3 linked regions of the Stegostoma tigrinum genome follow. The protein of the gene in region 3 purifies or fractionates together with the protein of the main gene of each other region. This does not show direct contact. Links are inferred from orthologs where the notes say so. Each region holds a gene or a part of one and is shown on either strand. Other genes may lie near its edges.

The links. Proteins that work in one complex are often made in the same cells at the same time.
Region 1: the proteins of pld2 (region 3) and dnajc7 purify together in Homo sapiens (affinity purification with mass spectrometry; 3 studies listed by BioGRID and IntAct, counting the BioPlex papers as one, with this or other methods). This does not show direct contact. The link is inferred for Stegostoma tigrinum from reciprocal best matches to the Homo sapiens genes PLD2 and DNAJC7.
Region 2: the proteins of pld2 (region 3) and dnaja2a purify together in Homo sapiens (affinity purification with mass spectrometry; 3 studies listed by BioGRID and IntAct, with this or other methods). This does not show direct contact. The link is inferred for Stegostoma tigrinum from reciprocal best matches to the Homo sapiens genes PLD2 and DNAJA2.

Annotation. Positions count from the first base shown.
Region 1 is NC_081384.1:12,730,730-12,740,660, reverse strand, and holds the start of dnajc7 (dnaJ homolog subfamily C member 7), read left to right. Parts: upstream 1-5,193; 5' UTR 5,194-5,256; coding exon 5,257-5,327; intron 5,328-9,931. UniProt on the Homo sapiens protein: Acts as a co-chaperone regulating the molecular chaperones HSP70 and HSP90 in folding of steroid receptors, such as the glucocorticoid receptor and the progesterone receptor.
Region 2 is NC_081369.1:30,465,232-30,475,162, forward strand, and holds the start of dnaja2a (dnaJ homolog subfamily A member 2a), read left to right. Parts: upstream 1-4,711; 5' UTR 4,712-4,777; coding exon 4,778-4,855; intron 4,856-9,931. UniProt on the Homo sapiens protein: Co-chaperone of Hsc70. Stimulates ATP hydrolysis and the folding of unfolded proteins mediated by HSPA1A/B (in vitro).
Region 3 is NC_081398.1:15,717,843-15,727,773, reverse strand, and holds the start of pld2 (phospholipase D2), read right to left. Parts: upstream 5,615-9,931; 5' UTR 5,325-5,614; exon of another isoform or gene 4,954-5,324; intron 2,425-4,953; exon of another isoform or gene 2,213-2,424; intron 1-2,212.

The sequences.
Region 1 (9,931 bases), on a different chromosome or scaffold from region 3:
AGACCTGCCGAGGTTCCAGCAACTTCTGTTTTTGTTCCTGATATACAGCATCCACAGTTCTTTTGGTTTTTATTCTGTTTTGGGGCATGAATATTGACTTCACCAGCTTCAGAATCTTTTCCTCCCTAACCTGTCCATCTTCTGACTCACCTATCCACTCCACCCTTCCCAATGACCAACCTCAATAACCACCCATCTGCATCACCAGCTTCAAAATCTCCTGACCCCCAACCTGTCCTTCTTCCTACTCAACTATCCACTCCACCCTGCCCACTGAACAACCAAAATTACCCCCTAATTGCATCCACCTATGGCCATATACTCCCCCCACCCCCTGTCCCTCTACTTATTTCTGGGCTCCCCTCCCCAGTTCTGACAAAGGTTTTTGGCCCAAAACATTGATTTTCCTGTTCCTCAGATACTGCAAGACCAGCTATGCTTTTTGAGCTCCATATTTATTGACTCTAGCATCCAGCATCTGCAGTCCTTACTGTCTCCATGACAGGCAAGCATTCAACACGAGAGACTGAGATAGCGAAAACCAGCCTTTAGAAAAAGACACTTTTTTAAAAATTAGTAATATTGGCTGTGGGATAAAGTGGTTATCCCTGCTGTCTCACAGTGCCAGGGACCCAGGTTTGATTCAGGTGACCGTGTGGAGTTTGTATATTCTCCCCGTGTCTGTGAGAGTTTCCTCCGGGTGCTATGGTTTCCTCCCACAGTCCAAAGATGTGCAGGTTAGTTGGATTGGCCATGCTAAATTCTCAATCGTGTCCATGGACGTGCAGCCTAGGGGGCTTAGCCACAGGAAAATGCAGGGTTACCGGGACAGCCTAGGGGTCTGGGCGAGATGCTCTTCAGAGGGATAGTGCGGATCCAAATGGCCTGCTTCCCCGCTGTAGGGATTCAATGTTCAAAAGGGGAGCAGTTCCCTGCCAAGAGATCTTCCACATCCGCCTGGAAAAAGGGGTGTTGAACAACCCAACTGAAACATGTCAACTCTGGCAGAGCAGCACTGCCCTTGGGCAGATCAGCCTGGATTCTGCTACTCAAGTATCTGGGGTTGGAAGTTGAATACAAAAAAAGTCTCCTGTCCCAACTGGCCAAACCACTGAGCCATAGCTGAAAATAATGCAAACCTAAAAGGCTGATGAACACTGTGTAACACATAAACAGGATGAACATAAAATAAACAGATTAATATTTCCTGCCCAGTGAGATCCCAGCCCCTTTCCTGATTGCTGATAATATTTTTACCTGCAAATAATTAGTGAGAGGTTTGAGAGGACGCAACTTCACTTGGGACTCGGTTGGGACGTCCGTGAGGGAGCAGATAAGAATATTGATATCGACTTGTTCCCGGCAGATGAACAGATTAAAGTAAACAAAGGCTTTCCTCCTCAGAACAAGCCCATCCACTGCTTCCATGCAACAAACAAGGAGACGACGCGGAGAATGCGTTACCTCAGCCCCTCAGGCTCGGCTCCACAAACAGCGCCCTCAAGAGGCCTGGAGGAGAGTTTGCCCTTTGTTTCCTCACTTTGTTTGATTGGGTAGGATTTGAAAATTACTCACAACCCAACAGATTTTATCTTTGTAAATATTGGTTCTATTTCGCCAAATGCATTTATTTCGCTGGAAAGGAATACTTTCATCTTTGTATGTTTGTCTACTTGTTCATGGGATGTGGGTGTCACTGGCTACTGGCTGCTATGTATTCCTGCCCCCGAAGGTGCCTTTCACACAGGACGTCTCAAAGGCCTTGATGGCAGATGAAGTTATTTTGGAGTGTTGTCCCTGTTGCTAAGTAGGAGATACAGCAACAAACCTGCAATTACAGCACTGTGATCGTCTTTTTTTTGCAGTTTTGATTGATTGCCAAGTGTCAGACAGGAGGGCATAACTCTCTTACTACTCTTTGCAATAGTACCATGTCTGCCAGATGGCGCAGATGCAACCTTAGTTTACTATCTGAAAGACAATACCACACCAGCTTGGATTTTTTTTTCATTTACATCTCCGGAGTTGGACTTGGGCCTATAACCTAATTCAGAGGTGAGAGTGCTACCTTCAGAACCACAGCTGCCACCTGCACAGGATTGTCACTACCCCTTTATCCCTTTGCTTATTATTTGTTAATGGGATGTGGGCATTCCCAGGCCACCAATTATTGCCCATCCCCAATTACCCTTGAAAACTGGTGCTGAATTGCGGTCTTGCACTGCTGCAGTCTGTGGAATGTAGGGCCAACCACAGTACATTTAGGAAGGGCGTTCCAGGATTCTAACTCAGTCGCACTGGAGGAACAAGTCAGGATGGTTGTAGTTTGGAGGGATCTTGTAGGTGGTAGGGTTCCCAAGTAATTAATTGTTTATACAAAGGATCATGGTTGTCAATATATATTAAAGTTACATAAAATCACATAATTGTACAAACAATTGTTCACGTGTGGAGAAAAGCTACTTGGTAAGTATATCAGCGGATGTCAGCGTGGACATCATAGCTTCAGGGTCAGGGCAAGGAAAGGTGGTTCTCAAAGCACCAAAATATGTTGACAAGGTAATTGTAAATAAGAGCAGATCTCAGCCCATCCATGAAATGGTGCACAACTGAAAGCTTGAATTAGACGTGGATCAGAAATAAGGTTGAAGTTAGATTGGAGAAGTGAAAGGTTGTCTGCAAACCCAGAACTAGCTTTAAAAAGGCAAACATTCAGAACTGAATTGCGTTGTAATTTTTAGATCTCGTACAGGTTTTGGTTCCCTCTGTCCTTCTCTGAGTCCTTTCACAAATAACAGAAAAGACCCGTTTACCCCCAAGTTGGCACAGAATGATCGTAAATTTAAATGGGAGAAAATGAAATGGCATACTGTCACATTTTTGAGATTGAATAAATTAAACTACATTCCACAGATAAAAAAAAGTAAACCAAAAAGTAATACTCAAATGTTTTACACTGATCGTACGGTCCTCCATTTTAAAGTATCTTGGACAATTTGGTTCATATGTGTCATTCATCAGTTTTACTGTTTTTTTTCCTCTGGTTATTGTTAGGGATTTACACCAAATTGTGCATAAATTCAGGTGTTTGCATACAGGTTAAGTAATTGATTAGCTCCACAATCACAACATGTGGCAGTCATTTTTGGATTGCCAGGTGAGGGTCAAATTTGAGAAGTAGATTAATGACCTCTTGATTGGAATTTGTAACTTGGTCACAGACATTAGAGAAGTGCCAGGTTTGCACGAGGCCACAGCACCCCCGAACTTGTGAGGACAAAATCTGCAAGGTTCCCACTCTTGATGATTATTCGCTGATTTAGACAATAACATGAATTTCAAATAGAATTGTAGTTAACCATGATACACTCAAATCAAATAGGCGCTTAACTTTGACTGACAAGGCACTGGAATATTGTATTGTAAGATTGACACCAGGCTGGAAAAATACCACAGAATACCTTCAGAGAAACAAACAAAGGGAGCAAGATAAAATTGATATATCACAAAAAAAGTCAAAAATACCCAATTTTGGCCTTTTTTATGTAGTTAACATAATTAAATCAAGCTGAGGTCTATACCAGAGTTACAGTCAAGAAAGCACACCAATGCCTCTACTTCTTCAGAAGGCTAAGGAAATTTGGCAGGTCTATAATGACAGTTAACAATTTTTATAGATTCACATGGAAAACATCCCATGCAATGCATCACAGCTTGGTATGGCAATTGCCCAAGACTGCAAGAAATTGCAGAGAGTTGTAAACACAGCCTTGTCCATCACACAAACCAGCCTTCCGTCCATTGCCTCTGTCTACACTTCCTGCAGTCTCAGAAAAGCAGCCAATAATAATCAAACACCCCACCTACTCCGGTTATACTCTTCAAACCTCTTCCATCAGGCAGAAGATACATAAGTTTGAAATCACATACCAACGGATTTAAGAATAGCTTCTTCCCTGCTATTATCTGACTTATGAAGGGACATCTCATATATCAGAATTGATCTTTCTCAGCACCTTCTTTTAGTTTTAACACTACATTCTGAATTCTGTACTATTACCCTGAAGCAGTTATGTAACGTATGATTTGTCTAGTTGGCAAGCAAAACCGAAACGTCAGCTTTTGTGCTCCTGAGATGCTGCTCAGCCTGCTGTGTTCATCCAGCTTCACACTTTATTATCTTGGATTCTCCAGCGTCTGCAGTTCCCATTATCACTCATCAATAATTTCCACTGTAGCTGAGTACATGGGACATACTGCTAGTGTTGCTGCCAAACATCGCATTACGTCGCTTGTGTTAGTGCCAGGAAGTGCAGTTATCATCAGTGCCACAGTACCAGGCATAGTCTCCATTACAAAAACAAAAATTGGTGGAAAAACTCAGCAAGCCTGGCAGCAGCTATAGAAAGAAAGCAGAGGTAATGTTTCAGGTCCAGTGACCCTTTTTCAGAACTATCTATGTTGGTTGTGTTGGTGCCAAACAGTGCAATTATCATCGGGTTAGTGGGCAAGCACTACTGTCTCACAGTGCCAGGCACCCATGTTCAATTCCAGCCTCGGGTAACTGTCTGTGTGGGGTTTGTACAATCTCCCCATGTCTGTGTGGGTTTCCTCCAGGCGCACTGTTTTCTCCCACATCCAAAGAATTGTCGATTAGGTGGATTGGCCATGCTGAATTCTAGTGCCCAGGATGCATAAATTAGGCGCGTTAACCATGGTAAATGCAGGGTTACAGGGATAATGTAGGTGAGGCGAAACCGGGTGAGATGTTCTCCAGAGAGTCGGTGTGGACTTGTTGGGTCGAATTGGCTGTTTCCACATTGTAGGGATTCTATACAATCCCAAGGTGACAGGCACAGTCAATCTGGTAGTGATTGAGATAACAAAGTGTGGAACTGGATGAACACAGCAGGCCAAGCAGCATCAGAGGAGCACAAAAGCTGACGGCTGAAATGTCACCCTTTGTGCTCCTAAGATGCTGCTTGGCCCGCTGTGTTCATCCAGCTCCACACTTTATCTCGGATTATCCAGCATCTACAGTTCCCATTATCTCTGTTAGGGATGGTACCAGGTAAATAATCAGCATCAGGGTCACAGAGCCAGGCTGATGGTACCAGGGCCAGCCAGTGGAGGTCCTCCATCTGTTTGGGAGGTCTGCAGTAGTTTATGCCGCAGGGATGCTCTTGCCTCCCGCCCGGCGGGTGGAAGCCTCGTTGTTCCGGAAGCCGGTCGGTACCGGGGTCCGGGTGTTGGGAAATGGCGGCCGGAGACTGCGATGTGACGATGGCCCCGGAGCCGAACGGAGCGGGAGAGGCCGATCTGGAGAGGTAACCGGGAGGGGAAGGATACTGCTGGATCCCCAGGCGGATGAAATAACAAACAAGGGCTGGGCCTTGCCTGGAAGCGGGGCTGGGTGATTGAAGTCCCTGAGGGTGAGATATAGGCCCCGGGGGAGAAGGCGGTTAACCCTGTGCCCGAGGAACACAGGATCCTGGAGAAGGACAGGCCCAGGCTGCGGTCACAAGTCCCATCGCGTTATCTGCGTTAAACATGTCTCAGGCGTTTGTCAGTTTTATATAAACGGCTGAAAAATAATTGATCATTTCTCAACCTTTGATGCTACAACTATCCTTTCCTCCTGTTGGTGCCTTCGTTTATACTCGGCACATTCATATTTCTTCAAGATAGTTATTATTTCTAATTTACAGGCTTTGGAATTTTAGACAAGATTATTTTGTGTCCAGGAAGCAGCTCTCCCCAGAATCCACGTGGGGCTTTGTGCCAATAATGAAATGGCAACCTTCCTTCCCCCACCCCCCCCCCACCACCATAAATACTAGAACCTTCCTCTTAGAACACTTACGAAGATGTAGTCTGCGTTTTACCAGATATCAATTTGTTCTCACTCCATTTTATTTAATTCCCAAATGGTCTGATTTATCAAACATTGGTTTGCTCAGCCAAGTGTAATAATGTGGGTTAGAAGACCCAGGCTCTGCAGGAGCCAGAGATTTCTCAGTTTAGGGATAACTTCGTTCATTTTTGTTCCGAGACATCTTTCCCCACCCTTCCCCTTAAATCTAAAACTTCATCAGAGAATAGATATGCAATGAGCAGTGTATTAATTCACCAGTATTTGTTTGAAGTCAAGTCTGAATACAGTACCAGGATTTTGTGCCCAGAAATGTTGTTGGAAATATATTGGGGTTGTAAAGTATTCTTGGCTGTAGAAGGTCAGGGATGACTTTATTGATTTGTTTCAGATGATAAAATAGATGTGATTGATTGAGAAATCTACCACCTGTAGTAAGGACGGGTTTGAGGGACAGAATGGCCTACTCCTATGCCAGCATTTCTTTGAACTGATTATTGATGCGCCCTTGTTTCTTGTACTTTTTATCCCACACTCCAAAAAGAAATTACATGCCCTGAATGTAAGTGGGCATTAATTAAGCCAGAAATAATAGTGATGTTGAAAGATCGAGCACATCTGCCTTTTTACAACTCTCATTTCTGAAATATTTGCAAACTCCCGAGTAATGCCTGTTTGTGAAATGAGTATTTGTGTATATTTACATGAGGTAGAAAGTTCTTTTAGAGATCTAGCCCGAGAAGTTGTGGACTGAATGGTTGCCACTGTATTGGAAAATTATACGATGATTCCTTTGCTATTTCACCCATGATTGTACTAATTTCAACGTACAATTAACATTTTGATCTATTCCGTTACATGAAACCTGTATTGAATTAGCTTTGATTCTTCCCAGGCATACATCCATGGAAGTCCATCACCTTGAAATCGTTTGACTTTTATTCATCAGTCTGCAGAATAAAGATCCTGAAAAGAGAGCCCATTAGACTTGGCACACTTGTATTGGCCCTCTGAAAGCTTAACACTTCTACTCTTTCCTAGTACCTTTACTTAAGTTTTTTTCTTCAATATTTTTAATCCTTCTTTAAAGATGGTAATAGATTCTTTACAGCCCTGTTTTCTTTTGAGTATCCTTTGTGCTATTCAAAGGAAGAAACAAATCTTATCCTTTTGTTCTTCTGATTAGCTTAAATTTACACAGCTGCTAGTTTCCAATTCAGAAACCGAGGAAATTAACTTTCTCCAAATTTGCTTCATGTCATAGAATCACAGTCATACAGCACAGAAACTGCCCTTCTGGCTCATATCCCTCCAAATGTTTCCTGTTCATAAATTATCTAAATGTCTTTTAAACGTTATGTGTATGGGATTGTCTGATGGCTTTTAGGTCAGGAGAGTTGTGGTAAGGGCTATGTATCGAGGTAGAGAATAGCATGTGAATGTTTATAACTGTGCTTAGAAACAACCCTATTCGGAAGCTCACCTGCAGACTTGTTAAGTAATTCTTTCTCGGACCCCGACTTGCATATGTCTGGGAAACGTTATGTGTGACTGAATTGGAATTCAAAATGGACGTCTTGTGGAGGAGTATTTGAGCAGAGACAAATAGATCACATCAGTCTTCCAAAAGCCTGACAGTGGGGTGCTATTACTCAGCAGTTCACAATTAAACATTAAACTCATTACATAAAGGGGTTATGTCTGAATTTCAGAAGATTTTGATTGAGTTTGTCCGTTGAATGCTTCATCGTTGCAGTTTTCATTTATATAACACTTGTTCTTCCAGACAACTGTGTGGAAACTGTTAATTATAGAACGGTTACAGATGACATAAAAATGTTATATTTGTCATCAGAAGTCTTGGGTGACAAAATTTTCTTTCTGAAAGTGCGCTCCAACTCTTATGATAAAATATTACAGGTGTACTTCATGCTGAAAATTTCTGAGCTAATTTGGTGTTGGGGTAGGTTAGTGTAGAGCTGGAACACTATTAGAACATAGAACAATACAGCACAGTACAGGCCCTTTGGCCCACGATGTTGTGCCGAACTTTTACCTGAAACCTAAGGTCTATCTAACTTCCACCCCTACCTTATACTATCATCCATATGCCTATCTAATAGCAGCTTAAATGCCCCTAATGAGACTGGCCCCACTACCCTCTCCAGCCATGCATTCCACGCCCCTACCACACACTGAGTAAAGAAAAGTACTTCACTGCCTCCCTAAGGGGTAAACAATGCAGTAGGAGAAATATTATAAATTGCAAAATAAGAAGGCGTCTCAATATTTTGCAAGTTTCAATCAGATTCCCCCTGATCCTTCTAAACTCTATGGAGTACAGAACCAGAGTCCTCAACTCTCCTCATGTGACAGATTCCTCATCCCTGGGATCTTACATGTCAATCCTCTCTGGGCTCCTCTGAAACATTCTACCTTAGATTCAGGGCTTGAAATTGCTCACAATATTTCAAATATGGTCTAACCAGAGCCTTATACAGCCTCAGCAGGACATCTCTGCTCTTGTATTCTAACCCTCTTGAAGTGAATGCTAACATTGCATTTGCCTTCCTGACTGAACCTGCCTGTTAACCTGAAGAGAATCCTGAACTTGGGAGTACCAGAAAAACTCTGGTTTGATCCACTTGCAGTAGTGTTGTTTAGAACTGAATGTTGGACTGGTGTTAGCATTTTTTACCGCTTATCATGTTGCAGATCATGCCAGTCAGATCTGTTACATGGGTAAGTTTGAATTTATTTGAGAGCTGGGAGCTCGTACAAAATGGCTGTTGCTCATGTTTTATTTTCTGTAACTTGCCCACAGAGGCAGTTTCTCCACATCTGTAAAATATTCTGCTGTTAGTGTTGGAAAAGTTTACCTGTTGGGTGATAGAAATTGTCATCTTTGGCAGATCTGTTGAACCTTTATCTAAAAGGGTACAATAGTATTTCCAGTGATTAAAAGTGATGTAATTCCTGAAAACAAAATGAAAAAATATCAAGTGGTAGTATTTGCTGCTGTCCAATGATCAAGTGTAAAAAAAATTATTTTAAATCAAATTAGGAAACACCTTCTTAGTAGATGGATCTTGAATCCAGACCTGGAGTGGGGACATTGCCACAAGACCTTGGCGAGCAAGCCAGTGGATTCAAATGAACTGAATCTTTTAAGTTTGACCTCCCAAATTAATTTGCTGAATGACTACCTTTATATCTCAGATTAATTAATTCAAGTTAAATTCCATCAGCTGCCAAGGTCGGATTTGGGCCTCAGGATTATTCATCTAATTACATTATCATTACAAACTGCTTTCCTGGAATATTAGCAAGTCTTATATGAAAAGGTAGAGTAAATTGATAATATTTCTTACAATGCACCAATTAATTTTATCAAATCTGTAATGCATTCAAGGGTTTCTATAGAATGCTGTATGTTTCATCATTTATTGGCTTGTCAGCAAATCGATCTTTTCAACATATTTATTCTATATTCAGTGTGCCCATGAACAGAACACTCTTGTGTGGCTTGTCAAGATGATGAGGGGAAAATACAGCAGTTAGTTTCCAGAGTTCTGGCTTAAATTTCCCAGGTATATGACAATATTAAGCTTGTGCCCTGAATCAGTCTTAGGGTCTCAGATTTAAATCGGTTTGCAGACTAATTGCATAAGACTTGAATTGTAATTGTAAACAGTTAATAGCAGCCAACCAGCTCTTAAGGAGAGATAAAACCTGAACTGAGCAATGATGTAATAATGGGAACTGCAGATGCTGGAGAATCCAAGATAATGAAATGTGAGGCTGGATGAACACAGCAGGCCCAGGAGCACAAAAGCTGACGTTTCAGGCCTAGACCCGAAACGTCAGCTTTTGTGCTCCTGGGATGCTGCTGGGCCTGCTGTGTTCATCCAGCCTCACATTTCATTATCTGAGCAATGTTGCCTGTCAGTAAGGAGTGAATGGCCGTGTTGCTTTTCTCTACAACATACGATCATTGAGCAGGACTGGCAGTTTCTCGGACCTGTTCTGTCATTCAATAAGATCACAGCTGACCTGATT
Region 2 (9,931 bases), on a different chromosome or scaffold from region 3:
ATGGTCATCATTACATTCTTAATTCCAGATATTTTATTGAATTCAAGTTCCACCATATGCTGTGGCAAGATTTGAACCCAGCATCCCAGAACATTATCTGGGTCTCTGGACTCACGGTCCAGCAATACTATCACTAGGCAATTGCCTCCCCTTCACCTAAATGTCTTTTTAACGCATAAGAACATACATTTGTCTCCAATCCTGATTACAAATAACATTCTTTGCAAAAATCATGCAAAAATGCTGATAAACCATAATGATTCATTGCAATAAGTACTCTAACTTTTGTGGAAAGGCTAAGCAAGCTGAATTTGCTTTATTTGTTAAAGGACACTTTGAAGTGATTGAATTGAAGTTTCCAAGGTTACAAAAATAATTTTACAAAGTCATCTGGTGAAATTATTGCCTCTAGCAGGCACTGAAATATCAGAAACTTCATCAGAAATGAAGGGTCTAGGCCCGAAACGTCAGCTTTTGTGCTCCTAAGATGCTGCTTGGCCTGCTGTGTTCATCCAGCCCCACACTTTGTCAAGAATGAAAGAGTATGGATAGCTAATATATAAACCCACAAAACGTTGAAAAGGGAAACAATATTACAACAGCAGGGACTGAATTTCTGTTCTACTGTGAGCATGGGCTTTGTTTGTTTCTGGAGGAAATAAAATTTTCCTCAACAATTCCAACCCCACTCTGTTTCTCTGACCGTACCGAGTTGTCAGGATGTGACACCCACTCCCTCCCCTAATATCACTACAGTTGGTTGACCACTTTAACTCAAATTTCCTCTTGCACACCATTCATGTCTGGTGGCATGACATTTCAGAAGCCCATAAAAGGCAGCCAGGATTGAGTTTTTGTGAAGCAAACAGAAGCTTTCTAGGGAGTGTGTAACATCCTGAAAGGTTAAGTGTAAAGTGTTTCATGCCTCCAAATGTCACATTTAGGTGCTGTATTGCAAAGTAGAAGTGTTTTTAATGCAGTTATTCATCAGTGGGACCCACCTTGTGTTTCCTCTAAACCCAAGTGCCATGCCAGTGCCTCAATTATACCTCAAGATGGAGAACCCATTTCCTCCCTTAATTTACACAACTTTTACATCTCTGTTTCTCTTTCAACACAATTAACAATAATTCAACCAGATGACTTCGTAAAATTATTTTTGTAACCTTGGAAACTTCAATTCAATCACTTCAAAGTCTCCTTTAACAAATAAAGCAAATCCATTTATCTTTTGCGCCAGGCTTGCATACCACATGTTCCCCTTGCTCTTCCTCCATCACTGTTAAAAATATACTAAAAAATTCTAATCGTCTTCAATTCTGAAGATGTTGTACAGGATTCAAACCACGAACACCGTTTCTATCTCTGTCGATACTGCCATAGATGCTGAGTTTTTCCAGAGTTTTCTGTGATCATTTCAGATTTACAATATCCACAGCATTTTCTTTTATCCTCAATAACACTTGCTTTCACATTTCTGTCAGACAATGCGACCTCCAGTTTACCCAAAATTCAATCAAACTGAGCTTTGAAAGTTCTCTTATGACTGTTAGGAACAACCCAGTCACTTGCAGGAAGTCTTTTGTCATTTCTAGTGCCTTGTCATAAATGCAGGACAGAGCCTGCTGTTTCCTTTCCTTGTTTCATGTACTATTACCACACCCAAATCCACGTTGCCTCTGTTTCAAACTGATTTTAGACAAACCCAACATCTCAATGGGGCAGCAGACAAGAAATTAAGCCCTGCTATTCCTGAAGTCATCACCAAAGTTAAAGATATCAAAGTACGCAAAATTCTCCAAATAACCTGCCTTTTCAACGCAGGTTAATCATAAGCATCGGCCATGTTTCCATATTTCTGACTTGTTATTTATCACAAATAAATAGATTCTAGTTAAAAATACGTATAAATGGTCAACATATATCTTGACTGATTAAAACACGAACTCTCTTATAAACTCTGGGGCAGGTAATGGCCTAATGGTATACTTGCTGGACTGTTAATCCAGAGACCCAAATAACATTCTGGGAACCCATGTTCAAATCCCAACGCAGCAGATGGTGGAATGTGAATTCAATAAATATCTGGAATTAAGAGTCTAATGATGACCATGAATCCATTGCGGATTGTTGGGAAAAACCCATCTGGTTCACTGATGCCATTTAAGGAGGGAAACAGCCATTCTTACCCAGTCTGGCCTACATGTTACTTCAGACCCACAGCAATATGGTTGACTCTTAACTATCCTCTGGACAATTCGGGATGTGTGGGTAATGAATGTCCTCTTGAGCATTTCCAGCACTTAACTTCAGATTTTCTGCACCCAATCCCTTTTTGGCTTTGTGTTTCTGTGCAAGTTTTGCTGAAAGGTCATTGGCCAGAAAGGTGTGGCGTTTTGCTTGATTTTTGCTTGCTCTCCACAAATGTTGCTGAGCACAACCAGCAGTCGGATAATTTTAATTTCCCATTTTGTGGTAAAACTTTACGTTGGCATTCAGGTTGTGATGGACTCCCTGGTGATGATGGGCCACAAAGTGTGTGAAATGAGAAGGATCCACCATCTCTGTTCATGTTGCTAATGACATGGCTGGGAGGCCACAGTGACACCATTTCCTCCACAATGTTGATAACTGCTTTGGTACGGCCTCATGCTCCCATTAGGAGCTCAAGCAGTTCATTAACTTCACCAATACCTTCCACCCTGCCCTGAAATTCACTTGGACTATTTATGACACCTCCCACCCTTTCCTGGACCCCTGTTTCCACCTCTAGAAACAAACTTACCACCGACATCCATTTCAAACCCACTGACTCCCACAACTACCTCAGCTACACCTCTCAGCTTCCCTCCTGCAAAAAAAAAAGCTACCCCATACTCCCAATTCCTCCACCTCCATTTCACCTGCTCCCAGGACAAGACATTCTACTCCAGGACATCCCAGATAGCATCCTACTTTTGGGACCATAATTTCCCCTCCTCTGTAATTAAGGATGCTCTCAACTGCATCTCTTCCATTTCCTGCACCTCCCCGCTCTCCTCCATCCAAGGCCACAAAGAATCCTTCCAAATCCAGCAGAGATTCACCTGCACTTCATCCAACCTGATCTAATTGCATCTGTTGTTCCTGATGTGGTCTCCTCTATACTGGAGAGCCAAACACAGACTCAGGGACCAGTTTTTGGAGCATCTGCACTCTGAATGCATCAACCAAGTCGACCTTCCTGTTGCCATCCACGTTAATTCCCACTCCCAGTCCCCTTAGAGATATCCACCTTGGCTCTCTCCACTGTCAGAGAGAGGTCAAAAACCAAACTGGAGGGACAACACCTGATATTTCACCTTGGGAGCTTAAAGCCCAATGGCCTCAGCATTGAGATAATAAAGTGTAGAGCTGGATGAACACAGCAGGCCAAGCAGCATCTTAGGAGCACAAAAGCTGACATTTCCAGCCTAGACCCTACATCAGAAAAGGAGGATGGCGAGGGGGTTCTGAAATAGAGAGGGGGGAGGCAGATCGAAGATGGATAGAGGAGAAAAAGCAGACAAGTTAAAGGGGCAGGGATGGCACCTATAGAGTGGAATGTAGGTGGAGAGGTAGGGAGGGGATAGGACAGTCTGGGGAGGACGGGCAGGTCAAGGGGGCAGGATGAGGTTAGTAAGAAAGAAATGAAGGTGTGGTTTGAGGTGGGAGGAGGGGATAAGTGAGAGGAAGAACAGGTTGGGGGGGGGGGGGCAGGGACGAGCTGGGCTGGTTTTGGGATGCCGGGGGGGAGATTTTGAAGCTTGTGAAATCCACATTGATACTATTGGTTTGCAGGGTTCCCAGGTGGAATATGAGTTGCTGTTCCTGCAATCTTCAGGCAGCATCGTTGTAGCACTGCAGGAGGCCCAGGATGGACATGTCATCTCAGTATGCAAGAGGGAGTTGAAATGGTTCACAACTGGGAGGTGCAGTTATTGCACACCAAACATAGGTCACCGTGAGGCCTCAGCATTGACTTCACCACCTTCAAAGTCCATCTATCTCCCAGCCTTATCCCATGTCCTAGCCCTCCTCCTCACCTCCCTGACCTGACCATCTTCCTACTCACCTAAACACTTCACCCTTCACATTGACCAATCACTGTAACCCACTACCTGTCGTACTGGGGAAACAATGGCCTAGTAGTATTATTGCTGGACTGTTAATCCAGAGACCCAGATAATGGATCAGGGTTCAAGTCCCACCAGGGCAGTTGGTGGAACTTGACTTCAATAAAAAAAAAATTCTGGAATTAAGAGTCTAATGATGACCATGAATCCATTGCTGATAGTCAGGAAAAACACATCTGGAAACTGCCATCCTTACCTGGTCTGGCCTACACGTGACTCTAGACCACAGCAATGCGGTTGACTCTTGACCGCCTTCTAGGCAATTAGGAGTGGGCAATAAATACTGCCTAACCAGCGATACCCTCATTCTGTGAATGAATTTTTTTAAAAATTCCACCTGCCACCCTCTCCCCACCCCAGTCTCGAACGAAGGGTTTCAGTTCACACATTCGCCTTTGCTGCCTCTCAGACACTACCGGACCTGCTGCGCTTTTGAAGCATCACACCAATAGACCCTGACTTCTAGCGTCTGTGGCGTAACGTCTCCAGGCCCCGCCCCCTCCCCCGCTTTGCCGCGCGGCGGTGACGTCAGCGCGCTCTATGTGAGGCCAGGGTCAGACGTCACTTCCGGAGCCTGCCAGCTTGCGGCCGGTGCTCGAGCTTCTTCCTCCCTCTCTGTCACGATGGCGTCGGTAGTGGACACAAAGCTTTACGACATCCTCGGAGTTAGCTCCGGAGCTACGGAAAACGAACTCAAAAAGGTGAGTCACGGCCCGCCGGTGACACGCACGAATCGAGATGGAAAACAATACTCTCCTCCTTAGCCAGTGCCTTTCGGCAAAATTTTAAGGAAACAGCGCACAGCCTGAAGCCTGACCGGCTAGGCCGCTGCCTGGATTGTTGGTGTGTTGTGGGTAGACGAAGTGGAGTTGGGGGAGAAACCGAAGTTCAGCGAATTTAACAGGAATGAACCAAGGATCTGGCCGTTTTCGGTGTGGTTGCTATCAGCAGAGCGGGGCCGCCTCACCTGCCGCCCTTTTGAGGGATTGGAGAGGTGGTTGGGGGGGTTGGGTCAGCGAGCCGTGAAGGAGGTGGGGCGGGGGGGTGGTCTGGGTGTTGGTATTGCCGGCGCTGCTGTCACCGGCGTCCGCTAGCGTTTCCCCTCCCCTTCCGAGCAGTAGCACGCCTGGGATTCGGAAACACCCGGTGGCGCTTCATTGACCGCGACACCATTTTGTGTTACTGCAACCACCATTCCCCCCGACCGGGGGCCTATCTTTGACCGCTACCGCAGCGCCTGGGACATTAGTGAGGCCTTTCAGGAGGGAAGTGATGGTGACGGCGGAAGTGTTTGAAATGTTGCTGATAAAATTAGCCGGGCTGTGATCTAGAAAGGCTCTGGTTAATGTCTTCCGTCGCGACCGGAGAGCTCAAGTGCAAGTAAGTTGTATTTCTGCGAGGTGAATCATAGATACAAAGTGGATCAAACCGAGCAGACCAGTATTTGAAGTCGCACTTTCGTTTGTTGTGTAAATATGTCATTATGTTCTTGAATGATTTGAAAGACATCATAATATTGCTCCAAGCGATGATCGGTAATTTTCGTTACTGTTAGCTGAGGGAGTTTAGGAAACTACGCGCATATTGATCTGTCTGGGACAAAAACAGAAATTGCTGAAGAAACTCAGGCCCAGCGGCATGTGTGGCGCGAATGGCGAGTTAAAGTTTGGGATCCAGTGAGCTTTTCTTCACCCTGTCGACTTTCTTCAGCAATTTGTTTTTGTTTCGGATATACAGCATTCGCCGTTCTTATAGTTTGGATCTGTCTCCATATCGTTTGGAAACGTGGAATTGCAGGTATTAGCTTTCTTGCGTTCTGAACTGAGATGTTTTGAGTATATTTCGTACCTTGCTCTTGAAAGAAAGAAAAACCTACCTTGGGCATCCTTTAATCATTTAGTGTCCTATGCAGAATTGGTATTTAGAATCATGGAATCCCTACACTGTGGAAGTCAGCCATTTAGCCCATCAAGACCACGCCAACCCTCCAAATAGCATCCCGCCCAGACTGATCTCCCTACCTGTAACCCTGCATATCGCATGGCTAACCTACTTCACCTGCACACCCCTGGGCTTAATGGGCAATTTAGCATGGCCAATCTACCTAGTTTGCATATCTTTGAACTGTGGGGTGAAACCAGAGCCCCTGGAGGAAACCCCACAGACATGGGGAGAATGTGCAAACTCCATACAGTCACCCAAGGGTAGAATTGAACCTGGATCCCTGGTGCTGTAAGGCTGCCATACTAAGTGCTGAGCTACTGTGCTATATATTTCAAAGTAACAAAAGGGCAATTGAACATTAGGTCATGGCAGTTTGTTACCTTAAGTAATGACAGCTGAATGTTGCCCTGAAAATTTGAGGCTGCTCTTGTGCTGACCTAACTAATTCATGGAAATGTCAAATTAATTGTGAAACGATTTATTCAATTTTGTTTTGGTGGGCGGGTGTGGGGATTTGGCAAGAGCTACTGCTTACTACTTTGAGACTTTGACTGGCCTAGTCTAAGGAGCTGCTCTTGTGGTCTCCATGGCCATTAAGTCGCATTGCTGTCAGTTATCTTGTAAAAATTTGTTTTTGTGCAAAGCCCCGGAGTCTGGGACTGTTACGGTATACTAAAGCTTGTAGCGCTGGAAGGGTTTGAAACAAAGCAAAAGGAGAGATTTGCATGCTGTACATTTAAATTTAGTTCAACATATTTGTGAATGCATTTCATTGTTTGTCTCTATTTTTAAAAAGAGAGGATGGAATAAAATAATGTGACAGTGTATACTTTTTTAAAAAAATCAAAACATTAATCTTGTGAAAATTCATGCGATATGTAGAAGATATGTTGGTTTACTTTGTATGCGGAACATAGTGGCCTAGCAGAGAATCTTTTCAAGCCTCATGCTTCAATTCTTGAAGGGTTTTGTACAGGAGGTTTCTGCATGGCTTTAGATGTTATTCTGTATCTTGTTAACTACTCTAAGAATGTTAACAAAAAAATTGCAGGTTTCTTGTGTGGGCTTTCCTACTTCAGGCAAATTTTAATGAAAGATCATCCTTCCACAACATGTGCAACCTAGTTAGGCATTGTTATATTGTAGAGGGGGAGAAACCTTTTAAATCAGCATTCCCGTGTGCATTTTCATGTACCTTGATATTTTACATTTGTTCTATTGAATGTAGGTGTTGCTGGCTAGACATTTGACCAGGATTATTTACCTATTCCTAATTGCCCTGGAAAGGTGATGAACTGCCTCCTTCAACTGCGGCAGTCCTTGGGGTGTAGGAACACTGTCTGTGCTGCTTTTTAAATCTGGATATCCTATTTCACGTAGGCGATTCACAACCTTACTTTATTATGCAAAGGTGCATCTTCATCTATCAAATGGACCCTTTTGTTCTAGCAAATATCAGACTCATCTGAATCCTCATCTGTGTATTTGTCAATTACACATTAGAGTAAAGATGACATGTCTTGGCTGACCTATCATTAATGTACTAAAGTCAAATTAATCAAAACTGCTTCATCTATCCTATCTTAAAGTAAACCCTGCTGACCTATTGCTCCTGTCCTTTGCGACCTATGTTGGCTCCAATTTAAAATTCTCATCCTTACATTGAATTTACTTTGTCTTTGTGGATTTCTGTCTCTTTAATCCCACAGTTACCAGCAATCTTCCATCTCTAACTCCTTATCCTTCGCTCCATTATTGGTAGCTAAGCCTTTAGATGAACAAACAACGTTGCTTCCTTTTTCCAGCCTCTCTGCCTCCTGTTCTTACCAAGTTGTTACAAAATGCATAATGTGGTTTGTTACATTTTTATAGTTCATCAGTCACTAAAATTTGCTGTTTGCCCTTATTTGTTATTTGTTCAGAATGTTAGATACTGAGACTTTATAGTATTAAGAGAGTGGAACTAAATGAATGATTTAAGAATTGTAAAAACATTCGTAGAAGTTTGGTTTTTAAAATAAATACAATAAATGAAGAGAAGGATTGGTGTTCTGTGAGGCATAGTACTTGATCCGTGTTTTACACTAGATTATGATAGGTAGTCATTAAAGAACTCAGGTGAGATTAAATAAACCTAGAGAGTGGGAAAATTGTGAACTAATGTAAAATGGCAGTATAATCATGAAATCTCTACAGTGTGGAATCAGTCTCTTCGGCCCAAAAAGTCCACACTGACCTTCATATCAACCCACCCAGACCCATCTCCCTTATAACTCACCTAATCTGCACATCCCTGAACACTAAGGACAATAGATCAAAAATTCACAAGAAAAATGGGATTCGATCTGGAAAGCTGTGACTGACTAGGATATGATAGTGAAATTGCCTGTCTGATGCTGTAATTTTCCATAAGACCCTTTAAGGGTGTTTTAAAATGAACCCGCTGCAGTCCAGTATTTAGAGGAAAGCTGTATATTTCAGTTAATCAAATATACATCTGACAAATGTGGGTTTGTAGAAGCAGCAAAGATACTAGGTTGTGTTTCTTAGCACAAATCCTTGTCTCATTGCAGTAATGGAGAACAAAGTTAATTCTTGTTTACCATCTTCATGGAATTTGTTCTGTGATTTAGATAGTTGTTGAGAAGACTGTATTAGTTTCCCTTCTGATAGAATTGTTTGTCACACAGGCAGATAAGTAATCTGGTTTTCAGCACCTTATTTAGAACTATTGTGTTACTAACTATAATTATATGCTTATCAGTTGTTTGAGTTCGTAGTTGATATAATGCTGCCACTGCGTCAGTGGTAGAGGGAATGAATGTTGAAGATATTCGATGGTATGTTGACACCCCCCCAAAAAAAAATTCAGGCTGCTTTTACCTTGTGATGTCAACCTTCTTGAGTGTTAATATGCAGTCATTCAGGCAAATTGAATATATTCAATCACATTTGGGACTTAGTGGACAGGAACAGGGTGTTAGGAGGTAAGTTAATTGTTTCCAAATTCTGACCTGCTCTTGCGGCCACAGTATTTATGCAGCTGGTACTGTTCAACTTCTGAATGTTAATGCAATGTTAAATGTTGGAAGTTCCATTGAATGATGTGGGGTGATAGTTTCTTTTTTCGTTGGAAATGGTTATGACCTGGAACTTGTGTACGAGCGTTACTTGCAATTTATCGGCCCACATCTGAATATTGTGCTGTCCTTACTGTGTGTAGAGTAGGACTGCTTCGTTATTTGAGAAATTGTGAATGGTTCTGAACATTAATTCTGTTCCCCTGGCACAATTTTCTTAAGAATTTATCTAATTCTTTTGAAAGTGACTATTTAGTACCTTGTTAAGACTTTCAGGCAGTGCATTCCAGATTTAAACAACGAGCTGGGGCAGGAGGGCAGGTTTCCTTATCTTGACTTTGGTTCTTTTGCCTTACTTTTAATTATGTATCCTCTGGTTACTGACTGTTCTACTGCTGGAAACAGTTTCTCCTTTTTTACTGTGTCAAAATTCCTCTAGTAAATCCAACTTCAATAGAAGGTCAGTGATCTGAAAGATTAACAGTTCTGCGTTAACTAAGTTAGGGATTTTGCAGTAAAGTATTCAGATTGAATGGTTCACACTGCATTGAATTGTGAACAATAACCACGAGAATGCAGGCATAGTTGTACACATACTTACTTGTGCTATAGGTATGCAACATTTCATATTTTAATGCACATTTGACAGTTCTGGGATTGAGGTGACTGTTTTCATTCAACCAATCACTGAAAGGTGCGTATTTAATATATTTCAAGTTCTTATTGGTCCAGATTTTGCACTGATAATGGCAA
Region 3 (9,931 bases):
ACTGGAATAGGTAAGTGTGTGCTGGGCTTTTTGTGGAAATATTTGTACCATTGTAGCCAGGGAAGACTCCAGGGTGGCTAATGTGGTGCACTTTATTTAACATAGGTGGCAAGAAAAGCCAGGAATGATAGACTGGTGAGTCTGACACCAGTGGTGAATAAGCTGTTGGAGGGGATTCTGAGGGACAGAATTTATATTTATTTTGAAAGGCAAGGACTGATTAGGGATAGACAGCATAGTTCTGTGCGTGGGAAATTGTATCTCACTAATTTCATTGTGTTTTCTGAAGAAGTAGCAAAGCAGAATTACGGTGGTGTTGTGTACATGGACTTCAGCAAGGTGTTAGACAAGGTTTCATGGAATCCAGGGAGAGCTAGCCATTTGGATAGAAAATTGGCTTGAAGGTAGTAGACAGACAGGAGGCCTATGACCAGCTGGATCCACTGCTTTTGTCATTTATATAGATGATTTGGATGTGAACATAAGAGGAATGGTTAGTACATTTGCAAATTGGTGTAGTGGACACTGAAGAAGGTTATCTAAGAGTACAACAGGACCTTGAACAGATGGGCCAATGAGCCAAGGAGTGGAGATGGAGTTTAATTTAAATAAATGTGAGGTGCTGCATTTTGGTATGCCAAATCAGGGTAGGACTATTAGGCTTAATGGTAGGATCCCCACTGTCGGCAATGCTGCCAAACAAAGAAACCTTGGAGTGCAGGCTCATGGTTCCTTGAAGGTAGAGTCACAAGTAGACAGGATAGTGAAAGAAGCCAATTGGTATGCTTGCCTTTATTGGTCAGTGCATTGAGGAGTTTGGAGGTCATGTTGCAGTCTGTTCAGGGCACTGCGGTTAGGACACATTTTGAATAAGGTATTCAATTCTGGTCACCCTAAGATAGGCAAGATGTTGTTAACTTGAAAAGGTTCAGAAAAGATTGACAAGGATGAAGGCCACAGTTGGTAGGTTTGAGCGACAGGGAGAGGCTGAATGGCCTGAGGTTATTTTCCTTGGAGTGTCAGCAGCTGTGGGGTGACCTTATAGAGGCTTATAAAATCACAAGGGTAAATAGACAAGGTCTTTTACCCCAGGGTAGGGGAGTCCTAAATTAGAGAGCAAAGGTTTAAGGTGAGAGAGGGGAAAGATTTAAAAAGGACCTAAGGGGCAATATTTTCATGCAGAGGGTGAGAATGAGCTGCCAAAGTGGTAGAAACTGATACAATTACAAAATGTAAAAGGCATCTGGATGAGTACATGAGGCTGAAGGGTTAAAAGGGATACGGCCCAAATACTGGCAACTGTGTCTAGATTAATTTAGGATATCTGGTCAGCATGGACAAGGTGGACCGAAGGGTCTGTTTCCTCACTGTACAGCTCTAAGAGGCTAAGTCAGCACGTCTTCAGCCCATTTCCTGCTTGGTGGCAATTTCACTGGCATCCACCACTTAGAGTAAGAGAGAGGGATGTTTTTCACCTGCAGTGCAGGTGCGTACCCTCAAGCTACAACCTTCACAGCAAGTTAGTAAATGTCATTGCACAATCATACACAGACCAAGAGCCTTGTATTCCTGGAAAGGTAAGACCCAAACATAACCTGCTGAAGCATAGTCCTCAGGAGATGGCTTTTTGCTGAGAGGGATAGTCAGACTTCCATTATCTCTTTCTTTTAAGTCTTTGGTTTGAAGTTTCCCTCTCACTCCAGAGTTGTAACACTTCATAGGTTCCACTTGGGGCTTTTTTAAAATCAGGTATGACTGAATTTACATTCACAGTCAACTCTTGGTTGTATGTGCTCTTTCAAAAACTATTTGTGGTAACTAGAAGTTCAACAAGTCTGTAAGTAATGTGAAGTTATGATCCCTTGTTATGACAGCGAGAAACTGACTGATATCAGTTTACAATGAAAAATGTGAGCGATGTTGACCTCGATAGTAATTTGGGCGAATAATACAGGTCAAGATTGCACTAATGTGACAATTTCGCACTTGGAGACAACCCAAATTTTACAATCCAATGGCAACTTAAACACAAGCTCAGAGAGACGAAGGGAACAAGGGAGTGTGAGAGAGGGGCAAGGGTGAGGGTGAGGGCCAGGCAGGGGCACAGAACAAGAGAGAGAGGGACAGAGACAGAGGCATGGCAAGAGAGAGAAAGGGAGGCACAGCGAGAGTGAAAGAAAGAGAGGCACAGTGAGAAAACAGACAGACAGAGACATGGTTCTGCATGGTTTATCTCCACAGTCACTGTTCAGATTGCAAAGGTCTAGGAATATACAGGATGCTGTCCTCACCAGCTGAAAGCCGGGGACATGCCTTTTCTCCAACGCCGTGGAATGGGACTGTGTCACAGACAGAATATCTACACTCCCATATGCCACTTGGACAGAGCCAGACAAGAGCAACCTTGCTGGGTGCCCATGTTGGGGCTTCCTGCTCAGCTTGCTGTCTTCATCCAGCTCTACGCCTTATTGTCTCAAAAAATGAGCCAGCCAGGATATCAGGAAGAAACTAAAACAAAATTCCAGCAGTGGCATTGATGTGTTGATTGGATTGGCATGCTTGCACTGATTCTGGTTGAGGTGGATTTATGGAGGACAGGATCCTCTGTGAGACTCCCCAGCTCTGAAGTGCTACCAAGGCATCTGCTAATATTAGGGTCATAGGTTTATATCATATCCAAAATGCATTACTATCAACAGTGCAACACATGACAGTGAGAAACTCCAACAGGGTGCTCCCTCAACGCTGACCCTCCGACAGGGTGGCACTCCCTCAGCACCGACTCTCCACTCCCTTCCATCAAAAACAATGTTGTTTTTGTCATTCATACATTGCATCTATCACCCATCACAGTTGTCCCTAGATGTAACTATTAGATTGCCTTTTCAGAGGGCAATCAACAATCAACCCCATTGCTTTGTGACTGGAGTCACACGTAGACCAAACCGGGTAAGGCTGGCAGATAGGACTGTGAGGGCACGAATGAACAGATTTTTTAAAAAACAATTGACCATTAGATTTCAAAACGGGTTGAATTCAAATTCCCCGTCTGCTATGTTGAAATGTGAACCAGGTCCCAAGGACACGTCCTGTGTTTCTAGACAAATGATTGAATGATCACACCACTCAGACATCAACTCTCTGATCTGTTGTGAGCGATATCAACTCTTCCAGTCTCCCTCCGTCTCACTCAGTATGAAGCACACTCAGACCTTTGTTCGAACAGTGCTTTTTTGAACAGTATTTCAGATTCATGTACAAGTATTAACTTGCATAATCAGGCAACAGAAGAGAAACTCAGACACACAATCATACCTGCAATCCACTTCAACCTGCAATCCCTCTAAGATAAAAGATCGGAGATCGCTCTGCAGATTCCACCCTGAAGACTTGCTGACAACACACTGTGTACTTCCAAGCACTGGCATCAATTGGACAGCACAAGAAAAGACCACTCAGCCCATCATGCCTGTTCCAGCTCTGTTCTCCCCCCATAACTCTGCAAATTCTCCCTTTCCAATTATTTCTCCAAACACCACCTTTTGAAAGTTCCTCTCGAATCTGCTCTGACCTGCAATAGGGGTTACGGTGAGAGTTAGAGTGAGGAGGTTTATTCCAGATCGCGAGAAATTACTTCGGAAATTAAAGTTACTCTTGCTTCCCTTGTTGAGTAAAACCTTCTTCCCTCCCCCACTCCACTCTTGAAAGCAGTTGGACTTCATTTACCCGATCAAAGCCCATTATTATTTTTCATTCATCACAGAACATGGGGATTACACTTGGAAGCATTTCCAGCCCTTGCCTAACTGCCCCAGAAGAAGCTGACGGTCTTGAGCTGTTCCAATCCCTGTGGTGGGGGAACACATGCCAAATGTGGGGGGGGGAAATGGTGCTCCAGGATTTTGACCCAGAGGGAGCGGACGAAAGGTGAACTGACCCCTTCCTAGAGGAGCCAAGTGGGCAAAGGGATGGGAAAATCAGTGCAATCTTGATGTGTCGAAGGGCCTGTTCCTGTGCTGTACTGTTCTTTGACCTAACCCTGCGGGCGTTTTCAGCAGTGAGAGTGGCAGCGAAAAAAACAGCAAGTTAACGGGCTCTACACCAGCTACTTTCCCACCCAAAGTAAATAGGCCACAGTGGGAGTGATGGTGTTGACCTCAGGACTGAGGCTGTCAGAGAGGTCCACAGAAAGAGGTTACTGTGCTATTGACCATTTTGGTGTTTTCATTGACCATAAGAGAATGTGTGTTGGATTCTGGGCTCTCACAGGAATTAAAACTGGAGGATCCCACTGCATTTAAGTGGAACTGCCTAACACACATCAGAAGACAGAAAGGGCCTTTCGTTGGCTCACTGCCAACACCTTGAAGCTGGTCGGGTGTGGCCGGAATGAACAGGGTGAACTACACAAGAGCAAACATGTCTCCACCCCACCCCAAAGCTCCGCGAGAGACCTGAGAGGCCATCAGCCTTTCAGATTGCTGCTACTATTCAACCCAATTTGAGAAAGCGGCCCAGAACAGCAGGAGTAGCGATGCTTTCCTGAATCCACCCGCGACAAGCTGAGGCGTTGGCGAGGAGACAGAACTGGAGGTTATCCAGACTCTCAGTCAAGGCGAGGCAGGAGAGAGGAAGATGAGTGAGACAAATAAGTTAGTATCATAAACCTCAACCCTTCCCCTCCACCCTGCTGCAACGAAAAGACTAAGCTTCCAGACCAGCTGCCCCATTCCCCCACATGCAAACCTGAACTATTCATGACCCCTGCAGAATTAACAGCAGATTCCTTCATTCTCACTGTCTCGGTCAGAGTTCACTCCAGTTTACTTTTTTTTCACTGCCCCTGCCGCCTCCTCCAACCCCTCGCCCCCCCCGCCCCTGTCGCCTCCTCCCCCCCGCCCCTGTCGCCTCCTCCAACCCCTGCGCACCCCCCTCGATGTCTGTCACCTTCTACTACTACAGCTCCTGGACCATCCCTCCCGACTCCCTTCGTCTCCACTATTTGTGACTGCCTGGGCCCCCACTCTGGAATCCCCTCCTAAAACTGCTTTTTCTTTCTCCTCCAAAATGCTTCTTTAAATAATAATCTCTTCAAACAAGCTTTTGGTTGGTCAGTCCTCACAGGGATTTCAGTTTCACACAGCTCCGGATAGGAAGGTAGAACGCGCTACAGTGAGCGAAACGGCTGCTGTTAAAATGGAAATCGATGTTGTCGAACAATAAGAGTTAAAACTCCCTCATAATCTTGCTGGGACTGAACAGATACACACGGACAAAGGTTGTCGACCCATTACTTGCAAAGCCGCACTTTCTCAGTAACTTACCCACGACTTAATTCCAGGAGATTGGAGGCTCCCCTTAAGGCGGACAAGCAAAATTCCTCGCCAGATTTGCCCAAGTTAGCCTGGGGCTATTGCCACGCAGCTCTGCCAAAGTGGGTGCGAAGCAACAGCCGATTTCGAGCGGAAGCTGGCTCAGAGAAGTTTGGAGAGCAACAGGGACAGAGAGGAGTGGGAAGCATCTAACGAGAAAACAAACACACCTAAAAGCTGAGCTTCCGCAGAAGGGGAAAAGAAAAACAAAACGCCAGGGAGCCGCCTATGTGCACAGAGTGTGTGTGTGAGAGAGAGAGAGAAAGCTGTAGGAGATTTAAAGTCGCAGTCCACTCCCAGTGTTGCGAGCCTTAAGGTAGGGATCCTGCAGAAATTTAAACTTTTTTTCTGGTCTTTTAAAGTAACTTCTCACTTGGGAAATATTTAAAGGGACAATTTTTAACCATTTGAAAACTACCAGATATTTAAAAGGGACAAAAACAAAGTTGCTGGAAAAGCTCAGCAGGTCTGGCAGCGTCTGTGAAGGAGAAAATACTTCGGGTCCGGTGACCCTCAGAACTGTTCTGACGAAGGATCACCGAATCCAAACTGTTAACTCTGTTTTCTCCTCCACAGACGCTGCCAGACCTGCTGAGCTTTTCCAGCAACTTTGTTTTTGTTCCTGATTTACCGATTCTGCAGTTCTTTTGGTTTTTATTCAGATATTTAAAAGGACAGACTGATAACCTTGCAGCACGCTTTCTAGTACTGGATTGAAGAGAGATAACAAAGTGTGGAGCTGGATGAACACAGCAGGGCAAGCAGCATCCCAGGAGCACAAAAGCTGATGTTTCAGGCCTAGACCCTTCATCGGAGAGGGTTCTGAAATAAATAGGGACCAAGGGGGAGGCGGACCGAAGATGGGTGGAGAGGAGAGGAGAGTAGAGGTGGGGAGGGGATAGGTCAGTCCAGGGAGGACGGACAGGTCGAGGCGGGATGAGGTTGGTAGGTGGGAAATGGAGGTGCGGCTTGAGGTGGGAGGAGGGGATAGGTGAGAGGAACAACAGGTTAGGGAGGCGGGGACGAGCTGGGCTGGTTTTGGGATGCAGTGGGGAAGGGGGAGATTTTGAAGCTTGTGAAGTCTACATTGATACCATTGGGCTTGGAATTCTGCTTGGGAACCCTGCAGCCCAATGGTATCAATGTGGACTTCACAAGCTTCAAAATCTCCCCCTTCCCCACTGCATCCCAAAACCAGCCCAGCTCGTCCCCGCCTCCCTAACCTGCTCTTCCTCTCACCTATCCCCTCCTCCCACCTCAAGCCACACCTCCATTTCCCACCTACCAACCTCATCCTGCCTCCTTGACCTGTCCATCCTCCCCAGACTGTTCTATGTCCTCTCCACCTATCTTCTTTTCCCTCCATCTTCAGTCCGCTTCTCCCTATTTATTTCAGAACCCTCTCCCTATCCCCCTCTCTGATGAAGGGCCTAGGCCCGAAATGTCAGCATTTGTGCTCCTGAGATGCTGCTTGGCCTGCTGTGTTCATCCAGCTCCACACTTTGTTATCTTGGAATCTCCAGCATCTCCAGTTCCCATTATCACTGGATTGAAGAGAAACGTCTTCACTCAGAGGGGGAGGGTTAAATCTTTGGAATTCCCTGCTCTGAGGTATTTGTTTATATTCCCTCACTGCCTCCACACGATTGACATGCCAGTGAGAATACCAAGAATTTTTATACATCTGTATGGAGCAAGAGGGTAGCCGAGGAAAGGGTTGGCCCACTCAAGGACAAAGGAGGGAATCTGTGTGTGGAACCAGAAGAGATAGGTGAAGTCTTAAACGAATACAGAAATAATGGGAACTGCAGATGCTGGAGGATCCGAACTAACAAAGTTTGGAGCTGGAAGAATAAAGCAGGCCAGTGCTCCTAAGATGCTGCTTGTCCTGCTGTGTTCATCCAGCTCCACACTTTGTTATCTCTTAAACGAATACCTTGTGTCAGTATTCACCAAAGAGAATGAATTGATGGAGGATGATCTCAGAGAAGGGAGTGTCAAATTTCTAAGCCAAGTTGCTATTAAGAAGGAAGAGATATTGTGCATCTTAAAAAGTATTAAGGTAGATAAGTCCCCGTGTCCCAGAATATTGAGGAAGGCAGGAGAACAAATTGCTGGGGTATTGACAGGCCTCTTGGGCCACAGGTGAGGTCCCAAGGACTGGAGTACAGCCAATGTTGTCCCATTGTTTAAGAAGGGTGACAGAGATAATCCTGGAAATTACAGGCCTGTAAACCTCATGTCGCTGGTCAGCAAATTATTGGAAAAGATTCTCAGGGACAAGATCTACACTCATTTAGGAGCGAATGGACCTATTAGTGATAGACAGCATGGTTTTGTGTGGAGAGAGATCATGTCTCGTTAATTCGTTTTTTTTGGGGGGTAGCAGTAGAAGGGTGCTTTTCGGAATGGAGGATTGTGAGTAGTGGCATTCCACAGGGGTGAGTGCTGGGACCTCTGCTGTTCATGGACTACATAAATGATTTGGAAGAAAACATTATTTAGTAAGATTATTTAGTAAGTTTGTGGACGATACAAAGATTGGTGGAGTTGCAGATAGTGAGGATGATTGTCAGAAGACACAGCAGGATATAGATCAGAAATAGTAGGAACTGCAGATGCTGGAGAATCTGAGATAACAAGGTGTAGAGCTGGATGAATACAGCAGGCCAAGCAGCATCAGAGGAGCAGGAAGGCTGATGTTTCGGGCCTCGGCCCATCTTCAGAAAAAGGATCTTGTTAACACCTTGTTATCTAAGATATAGATCAATTGGGGGCATGGGCAGACAAATGTGAGATAATTTTGGAATATCAAGTGAAGATGGAAATTATACAATAAATAACAGAACCCTTGGGAGTATTGATATGCGGAGGGATCTGGGTGTGCAGGTCCATAAGATCACTGCAGGTGGCAGGACAGGTAGAAAAGGTAGTAAAAAAGGCCTATGGCATGCTTGCCTTCATTGGAAAGGGCACTGAGTATACAGATAGGCAAGTTATGCTACAGCTTTATCGAACTTTAGTTAGACCACACTTGGAATATTGCATACAGTTCCAGTCACCAAACTACCAGATGGATGTGGCTGCTTGGAGAGGGTACAGAAAAGGTTTACCAGGAAGTTTACTCATAGGTGATGTTTGATATGAGAAAGTGTTGGATTAAGTGGGTTTGTCTTTATTGGAACGCAGGAGGTTGAGGGGTGACTTGATAGAACGTCATAAGATTATGAATGGCATTATTGGGTTGAAAGTAGAACAAAGAACAGCACAGCACAGGAATAGTCCCTTCAACCCTCCAAGCCTGCGCCGATCCAGATCTTCTACCTAAATCAGTCACCTATTTTCCAAGGATCTGTATCCCTCTGCTCCCTGCACATTCATGTATCTGTCCAGATACATCTTAAACGACGCTATCGTGCCCGCCTCTACCACTCCCGCTGGCAACACGTTCTTGGCACCCACCACCCTCTGTGTAAAGAATTTTCCACAAGTATGTCCCTTAAACTTTTCCCCTCTCACCTTGAAATCATGACCCCTAGTAATTGAGTCCTCCACTCTGAGGGGGATAAAGCTTCTTGCCATTCGCCCTGTCTATACCCCTTGTGATTTTGTAGACCTCAATCAGGTCCCCCCCTCAACCTCCGTCTTTCTAATGTAAACTATTCTAATCTGCTCAACCTCTCTTCACAGTGAGCACAGGCATTTTCCCAGGGTAGAGGAGTCAATTGCTAAGCAACGCAGGTTCAAGGTGTGGGAGTTGGCGGGGGGGGGGGGTGTGCACGTTTGAAAGAGATGTGCAAGGTACGATTTTCACACAAAGGGTTGTGAGTGCTTTGAATGTGCTGCCAGAGGTGGTGGTGGAAGCCGGCACAATAGCATTCCAGAAGTACCTGGTCAAATACATGAATAGGAAGGGAATAGAGGGATACAGATCCCGTAAGTGAAGATAGTTTTAGTATAGACGGGCAAAATGTGTCAGTGCAGGCACAGAGGGCTGGAGAGCCCATTCCTGTGCTGTGTTGTTCTTTGTTCTTGTTTGTCCAGCTCTGGTCAGCTCACTTGGCAGAGCTGGGTCTACAGTGTAATGCCCAGCACTGTGGGCTGTGAATCCAGTGGTCTGAGTTCAAATCTAGGTGGGACCTCAGATTGTCAAAACAGTCATTTAATTTTGGGCATGCAAGTGAAAATTGCCTATGGAGCAAGAGTAAAGCCAGTCCTTTTAACACCTCCAAGTTAGATCTCATCACATAGAACAAAGAAAATTACAGCACATGAACAGCCCCTTCAGCCCTCCAAGCCTGTGCATGCTGCCCGTCACAACTAAAACCCTCTACCCTTCCAGGGACCATATCCCTCTATTCCCATCCTATTCATATATTTGTCAAGATGCCCTTTAAAAGTCACTATAGTGTCTGCTTTCACTACCTCCCCTGGCAGTAAGCTCCAGGCACACACCACTCTCTGCGTAAAAAAACATGCCTCATACATCACCTTTAAACCTTGCTCCTCGCACCTTAAACTCATGGCCCCTGGTCACTGACACTTCTACTCTGGGGAAA